Linked DNA regions of Arabidopsis thaliana. The protein of the gene in region 1 interacts with the protein of each later gene in a pairwise test. Each region holds a gene or a part of one and is shown on either strand. Other genes may lie near its edges. The genes, in order: CLE26 and AT5G16590.

Region 1 (3,623 bases):
TAGAAATAGATTATATAACGTATAGTAATCAACAACTCTTGTAAATTCTTCGAGCAAATTTTCTCGTTGGGCAATGTTGAAGCCTGCATAAAAATAGAGACCCGAAGGATTCTTATAGACGGGAGTGGTCACCACGTTAGCAATGGAGATTGTTTACAAAGTTACCTTTTTTTTAGTATTTTAATCTCGTTAATGATAAAATGAATATGTAAGTGCCATTTTTTCAGTTACTTCGACTAGAAGCTAGTGAGTAACACACAAAGGCATAAGATTCTCAGGACAAATATACATTTAACTTTTTTAGGAAAGGTAATTTATTTTGAAGTGGGATTCATGTAAAATCTTAACAAATTTGATCGATGAGATGAATTATGCACTTATGCTTCATTGGCCCTATATTTATATAAACTATGGGATAAATTATGGCTGCTATGTGACAGTGATATAAAACATTATTCCTAAGGAACAATTTTTAATCATGGGTCTAGTCAATCTTGTCATTCTCATCTTTATTTCTGAAAACTTTAAAATGTGCAAATCTTAAGATACATAAAGAATGGCTAATGTTATTAACGCATAATTAATATGTTTTGTTAATGTACAAGATTGCTAATATCTCGACAGATCAACATATATTATTCGATGTTTTGCATAGGGGAGCTCTTATAATGATCTATTTTATTATAAATGGTACTAGACTACTAAATACATTAAAAAATAAAACGGTGAGGAATATAATAAGCTTGATCGGAACTAGGTAGATACTATATATTATGTATTGTGCCAAATTCGACATAAGGACATGCGTATACAATTAGTTATTATAGATATAGAAATTTGTGAGAATACGTGACGATAACTGTTTATGTTTATAAAATATGGTTATAAATTAGGTATGCATGGAATGGTTATGTGCTTAGCTTTACTTTTTGGATACGAAAGAGATGAATTGTACGTGAGAAAAGTACTAGAGGGAACCCTTTGTCACGTGTACTTCTAATAATCTAATATCATATGAGTACATTAATTTTAGTGATTAAGTAAATCTGCATGGAAATACACATTTGATATATATAAAGTGAAGGCTGGTAAATAAATTCCCTTCATGTCACGTTTCGGACCAGCTGTTCCATATTTCATTGTCTCTCTTTTCTCATATTTTTGGTCCTTAACAAAAAAACAAAAAGAGAATATTGCGTTTAATGTATATAATTATCCCTGCTATATATATTTATATTATTTGGGATATAATGAGGCGACATAAAAATACGGATTCATGCTTAAAGATAACACTAGTTATAAAATCTCACAGAAATATATAAAGATTCATAGCAGAAAATAATTTCTCTCTCTCTCTCTCTCTATCCTATAATGTTTCGAGTAAAGTTTGTAAAACATATTGAACAGAATAAAAACCATCGAACATATAAAGAACACCAACCATCCTAACTCAACAAAGTGATAAGACTCTCTTTCTTTCTCTCTCTCTCTCCATCTCCCTCTCTTTCTCTTGCTTTTGTTGTCACTCATCTTTGTTCTCTATTATAGTTTCCATTCAAGAAAATCGAATATAAACCCTACTACTTCGATCGATGTTCATATCTGTCTTTATTTCAACCAACCAACGAAGATAGGATAAAAACATATCCACAAAGGCTAGAAACCATGCGAAATAACCATTCCCTTCGTCTCCAATTGTGGTTCCGTACACTATTTACTGTTGGTGTAGTCACTCTTCTTATGATCGATGCGTTTGTATTACAAAACAACAAGGAGGACGACAAAACAAAAGAGATTACTACAGCTGTGAACATGAACAACTCCGATGCCAAGGAAATACAACAAGAGCTTGAAGATGGTTCAAGGAACGACGATCTTAGCTACGTAGCAAGCAAAAGAAAAGTGCCTCGTGGACCTGATCCTATACACAACAGGTTCTTACTACTTTCTCGTTTTATTTTATCACTTTTAACTAATCCTTACCCCTACCTGCATATATGTGTCTTGGATGTTTCTGTATGATATTTCATTAATATATAATAATATATGACATAAACCCGTGTGTGGTGCCACATTCATATTAGTTAGGTCTAAGTTCAAGGGCTATAAGCCTAAAATTCTCTACAACCCCATATTAGATTCCGTTATGTTCAAATTATACGCGTGGACCACTTGGTCACTTGCATTTCGACCATGGTGTTGTTTAACATGTGGTTTTTACCAAGGACATGCTCTTAGTATGGTCTAGATATAAATTCGATATTGAGATTAATGAATGACATCTAGAAATGACTATATTAGATGAAATCAAGCAAGCTAACTCGTTGATTGTCTATATGTTTATGCATGTTATAATAAGTTTTGTTTCGGGTCACCATAAATATACTTCTAGCACAATTTTACTAAAAAAACAAACACTTTGTTTCTTTTAACTAACTCAGATTCGGTGAGACATATCACAGAAGCTCGCAAAAGGCTGTCTGCTAGCTTTATTCAGTCTTTACGTTTAACAATCTATTTTTAATTATTCACTATAAGATGGCTTCTTTTAAAAACTTTCTTTTTTCCTTTATGGAAGCTTTAGCCCTTTGAACACTCCCTTTTTTTTCTTAGTTATATAGGTAACCCACTTATGATCACAGTTAATTCCATGTAGATCGTATTAAAGTAGTCTATTGACTAAATCACTAAAATATCAATTAATGAATTAATGTTGTATGATTTGTTATCGTTTATACGAAAGTAAAGAAAAACAAGAAAACATGACTTGGATTAAGTAACTCTATGTTCTGTCTTAATACAGGAGAGCAGGGAATTCAAGACGACCACCAGGAAGAGCATAAGTACGGTTAAAGCTTGGGTAAGAAGCAGAAAGAGAGAGAGAAGTATAATTGTTGGCAAATTAATATAGGTCTTGTATTGCTGCTAGATTCTCTTTTCCTTTCATTTGGGATCGAATCTTTTAAATATGCGCAAAATATTTGTGACCCTACAATTCTGTTTTTTTTTTTTTTAAATGTTTGTTTTGTTCCTATAGTGAAGAAATATTGAGCTAGTTAGGGGAGGTTTTAAAAAAATGAAGACACTGATTATTAAAAGGATTTCAAGAAAGAAAAGAAGTATACGTACATGCAATGCAATCCTGTTTTCTCACGCATTGCACGACTTATATTGGGATTATTTCTAATTTGATCCATCATCAAATAACGTTTAGATGCTTTATTTCCTTACTCACATTGTTTATTGGGTACTTGCACTAAATGATCATTAACATTTATTAAGTTAGGTAAATAATTGTGTACTCCTTTTATGTGCAAAAACACAAAATGGGTACTATTTTATTACTAACATGCTTTCTTATCAAATAGCAGTACCCTATGTTGTTCTAAATAACATGCTAATTCAATTCAGATTTGGCAGACAAAATAACATGGTATTTTAGAGAGAGCGCGCACAAGTGTGTTTTTTTAAAACAAATGAAAACATCATAATTACGTACCTGATTGACCCTTGTGTATATATTCACGATTAGAAATTGTAGATTACCAAAACACTCGCACAAAATGGTTCTATATATAGACAATATATGATTCTTATCACATGTTTTGAATGAAAAAAAAAGA
Region 2 (5,255 bases), on another chromosome or scaffold:
ATTCTAATTATTTTTTTATAATGATGATATTATTTTTTCGCAAAAATAGAATCATATAAAGATGAGAAGTGAATTATAATAATTAATAAAAAATTAATAAAAAATTAATACAATAATTTAGATATCAAATCTAATTTGTTGATTTTAATTGGTTACTTTTTTGGAAATTAATAATGTATTTCATTTTTCTAATTAAATCAAATTAATTAAAATTTAGATATCAAATCTTATATGTTGATTTTGATTGGTTATTATTTTTGAAAATTAATAATATATTTCGTTTTTAAATTAAATTTAATTAATTAAATTAGTATTTGACTTTTTAATCCTTAAAGAGATACATTAATTTACTCTTTAAAATTTTATTTCTAATGGCATACCTATGTAATTACTTACAAAAATTAAGATTATATTTAAAATGTATTTCCCAAATAATATAGTAGGACTAAAAAGCTTTGAATCTTATAATACTTTAACGAAAAAAAATTTGAACTAAACCAAATATCATAACTGTCTGTGAGCTATTATTGTATTCGCACCACCCAATTAGAATTTTGATAGGTACTACAATATTAAGTTTGTGATAACAGCCAATTATTACAATTGTTTGGTGGGTCATTATGTTCCCGTGACTCTGGGCTATTTTGTATATATGTCACTATTTTTGCCTTTCTTGTTGTAAAATTTCGAAAGCTCTTTATTTTCATTGGTGGGAGAGTCCTAATCTTCTTAATTTCTTATCATATAGTCCCAACTTGTATGTTTTGTAATTGTAATAACAAGTTGGACCGACGGGATATTGTGTAATATGATTGGTAATACGCAAACGCAAAGTAACATCACAGAACAATGCTCACACGGAAAATATGAATTCATAAAATTTTATCATTATATGAATGGAAAGTGGGAAAAAAGCATACATTACGAAATTGTTTTTTGCATGACATAAGAAGAACCATTTAAAAACTTGGTAACGTCAATTTATGCTAGTTAAGTACTATACTCTTTCGTCAAATAAAGAAAAATGCTAGTAGTAGTAGAGTAGACTGATATTGTTGTCCCATGAAATAAAAGGGGCTTCAAATATATAGTTTGATTTAAGAACCCATTCTTGTATAAGCCTATTTTATGGGCCGTAATCAATAATAATAATGGGCTTACTTTCTACAATGTACTCTTAACTGAATATCAATTATAGTTTGGGCCGAAATAAAAACGTTGGTCTCATCAAAATCCTAATTGTTTTACTTTAATATCATGTCTTCAGTACTAAAATACTAATGAGGTAATCTAATTTGTATATTTTCTTCCCAAAAATTTTCGATATGAGTTATTCCATTTTAATACAGAATATATTCTTACTTTTAGAGGAAGTAAAATTTTGAAACTACTCAAATCCTATTCTATATATGTACAAACACATTTTTTTTCTGCCGATGACTTAGATAGACACAAAGCTAAGAATTTCATATTGTAAAAAAAGTTAACACGTAAATATGTTCCACATATCCGAAAGGAATTTAAATTAGTAGTGGTTCAGTATTATTAAGTCAGACATTTTTAGGAGACGTTCAATAATATAACATACTTTCCCAAGAGTTGCATGTTTCCATCGTACATAATAAAACCATAACTAAACAATTTAAATTATTCATTAAAAATAAAAAAACGGATAGTATTTGTTTAATTTTCACATTAAAGTATCTTTTAATTAAGTATTTATTATTATCTTTTATCTACTTATGTAATGTTTATAACACTTCTTACAAATCTCTCCAGATTCCTTCATAAATGGAAACAAAAGCATTTAAATATGTAAATCATATGATTTGTTACTGAAAATGCTAAATTACACAATAATAAAAAGATGTAAGAATATACAGCAAACTCATTTCTTCTTGCTGTAAAAATAATCGCACGGAATATTTAAATAAATTAATAAAAGATTCTGTATCTCACTGTAAAAACTAAAAAGGTAAAAAATTGAACAATTAACTTTTTCTTTCCATTCACTGCAGTCTGCAATTAATAGCCTCTCTCTCTCTCCTCCTTCATCATCTCCCCATAGCCGTCGAGACAGATAGAGAGAGCTGAAATTTCTGTGAGAAGATTTTCTTCCGACATTTTCTCTTTCCAAACACTGTTCTACACGTAGTCGGAAATCTCGGAAAAACCAATCTCCGAGTCAGAGAGAGAGAGAGAGGCGTTCACTGTTGTAAAGGATTAAGCTTTGGGTAAGAAGAAGATGAAGAACAAGACCAATTTAGGTCTCTCAGTCTTCTTCTTCTTTATATGTCTCGTTTCCGTGACATCAGATCTAGAAGCTGATCGACGAGCTCTAATCGCACTTCGTGACGGTGTTCATGGGCGTCCATTGCTGTGGAATCTAACAGCACCACCGTGTACTTGGGGAGGAGTCCAATGTGAGTCGGGTCGTGTCACAGCACTCCGATTACCCGGTGTGGGTTTATCGGGTCCATTACCAATCGCCATCGGAAACCTTACAAAGCTCGAAACTTTATCATTCCGATTCAATGCTCTTAACGGTCCTCTCCCGCCGGATTTCGCAAACCTAACTCTTCTCCGTTACTTGTATCTTCAAGGAAACGCATTTTCCGGCGAGATTCCTTCGTTTCTCTTCACTCTACCAAACATTATTCGGATCAATCTCGCCCAGAATAATTTCTTGGGTCGGATCCCGGATAATGTCAATTCTGCAACCCGGTTAGCTACTCTTTACTTGCAGGATAATCAACTCACCGGTCCAATCCCGGAGATTAAGATTAAGCTTCAACAGTTTAATGTCTCATCCAATCAGTTAAACGGGTCGATTCCGGATCCGTTGTCGGGTATGCCCAAAACCGCCTTTTTAGGCAATTTGCTCTGTGGGAAGCCGTTAGATGCTTGCCCTGTCAATGGCACTGGAAACGGTACTGTGACGCCTGGAGGAAAAGGGAAAAGCGACAAGTTATCTGCCGGAGCTATTGTCGGAATAGTGATCGGCTGTTTCGTCTTGCTTCTCGTGCTTTTCTTGATCGTGTTCTGTCTCTGTAGAAAGAAGAAGAAAGAGCAAGTCGTCCAATCGAGAAGCATCGAAGCAGCTCCTGTTCCGACCTCATCAGCAGCCGTGGCTAAGGAATCGAATGGTCCTCCTGCGGTGGTGGCTAATGGTGCATCTGAAAATGGTGTATCAAAGAACCCTGCTGCAGTGAGTAAAGATCTGACATTTTTCGTGAAATCTTTCGGCGAGTTTGATCTTGATGGATTGCTGAAAGCTTCTGCGGAAGTACTTGGTAAAGGAACGTTCGGATCTTCGTACAAGGCCAGTTTCGATCACGGATTAGTGGTGGCTGTGAAACGATTGAGAGATGTCGTGGTTCCTGAGAAAGAGTTCAGAGAGAAATTGCAGGTTCTTGGATCCATAAGCCATGCCAATCTTGTGACATTGATTGCATATTACTTCAGCCGCGACGAAAAGCTCGTTGTTTTCGAATACATGTCTAGAGGAAGCTTGTCTGCGCTGTTACACGGTAACAAAATAAATAACTCTGTTTATTGTTTGATTCTTTAGTAGTGATTACAGATTTTTTAAAACCAATTTTTTGGAATGAATTCGTAGGGAACAAAGGAAGTGGCAGAAGTCCATTGAATTGGGAAACGAGAGCCAATATAGCATTAGGAGCCGCAAGAGCAATTAGCTACCTCCATTCGCGTGACGCGACAACATCTCATGGCAACATTAAATCATCTAACATTCTATTGTCAGAATCCTTTGAAGCTAAGGTCTCTGACTACTGTCTTGCACCTATGATCAGCCCTACTTCTACACCTAACCGCATTGATGGTTACCGAGCTCCTGAAGTAACCGATGCTCGTAAAATCTCCCAAAAGGCTGATGTTTACAGCTTCGGTGTTCTCATTCTTGAATTACTCACAGGTACAACAACACACACAAAAACAGAGAGATCTTGAAAACCGTATTTTTGGTCAAAATGTTGATTCATATATTGGTTTTTGTATTGATTTGCAGGGAAATCTCCAACGCATCAGCAGTTACACGAAGAAGGAGTAGATTTACCGAGATGGGTTTCATCGATCACTGAACAACAATCACCATCAGATGTGTTTGATCCAGAGCTCACAAGGTATCAATCGGACAGCAATGAGAACATGATCAGGCTTTTAAACATCGGTATAAGTTGTACGACTCAGTATCCAGATAGTCGTCCTACAATGCCTGAAGTCACAAGACTCATCGAGGAGGTTTCTCGTTCACCTGCTTCACCAGGTCCTTTGTCCGATTGATTGTATTTTTCTTTTTCAATATATGGGGTCTAAATTGATCATTTCAAAATTGTTTGGTCTAAATTTGAATTTCTTTATATAGTTTGGTCTTTAAGTCAGTTGAGAGATCTACGTTGAAGTTTTTTTTTTTTTTTTTGTGTTTCTTAATTTTTTTAGTGAAATTTTTTATATACAAATTGATTGAGTGTGAAACAAATTATATCTCTCCTTTTCTATTGGTCGGCCCATCAATTTGAATATAGTAACTTTAACTTTATTTCATGAAACTTATCCACTATTGACTCTTTCTTTCTAACGAACTAGCAAATAAAACGGCAGAAACAAAAAAGAAGGAGCCTGATTATTATATGTTGGTAAATTATAAAAAGTTGTCAAACAAATTTTGTTGATATATTGTGTCTGATTCTTCTCTCCGACCAATCATAAAATGCATGTCAACGACACATATTTTCTGTCTTTCCTCAATTTCAAGTTTTATTTGTATTAGTGACTAAGACTAAGTATCTAAATACTTATTACAAACTCCATGGAGTAAATATAATTTTAGGTAACGGGTCTATTTAAAGTTTCTAAGTTGAATCTGTCAAGTTAGTCCCCACCTTTCAAATTCAAATTCAGATAATTTGGTGAAGCCATCAAAACAAAAGTTTCTTCATTTTTCCTTTAATCGTTAAAGTAAATTTCAAGCGACTCTCTTTAAGAATAAAAAAAGAAAGAAAGATATACTATCTTTATAAATTGTATTGATCAAGACATATGCAGAGGGTTTCGGAAAATCATTTACGGACTTAATGTGTGAAAGAATTAGTTGAGTGCATCATTCATGTATAACTTAGAACATATCTATTTTGGTTCGGTTGAGATGTAAATAAAAAATGTTAGTTAAGAATTAGTTGATGATTTTGGGTTAGTTTGTAAGTTTAAGCGATATCAATGGGAATTGTAATGGT

The links.
Region 2: the proteins of CLE26 (region 1) and AT5G16590 interact in a protein complementation assay, tested with the Arabidopsis thaliana proteins (one large-scale study listed by BioGRID).

The regions. Positions count from the first base shown.
Region 1 is NC_003070.9:26,352,299-26,355,921, reverse strand, and holds CLE26 (CLAVATA3/ESR-RELATED 26), read left to right. Parts: upstream 1-1,665; coding exon 1,666-2,022; 3' UTR 2,023-2,803; downstream 2,804-3,623.
Region 2 is NC_003076.8:5,429,617-5,434,871, forward strand, and holds AT5G16590 (Leucine-rich repeat protein kinase family protein), read left to right. Parts: upstream 1-1,967; 5' UTR 1,968-2,245; coding exon 2,246-3,530; intron 3,531-3,619; coding exon 3,620-3,937; intron 3,938-4,030; coding exon 4,031-4,305; 3' UTR 4,306-4,570; downstream 4,571-5,255. UniProt on the Arabidopsis thaliana protein: Might be involved in early recognition of growth promoting fungi. Appears to be specific for P.indica.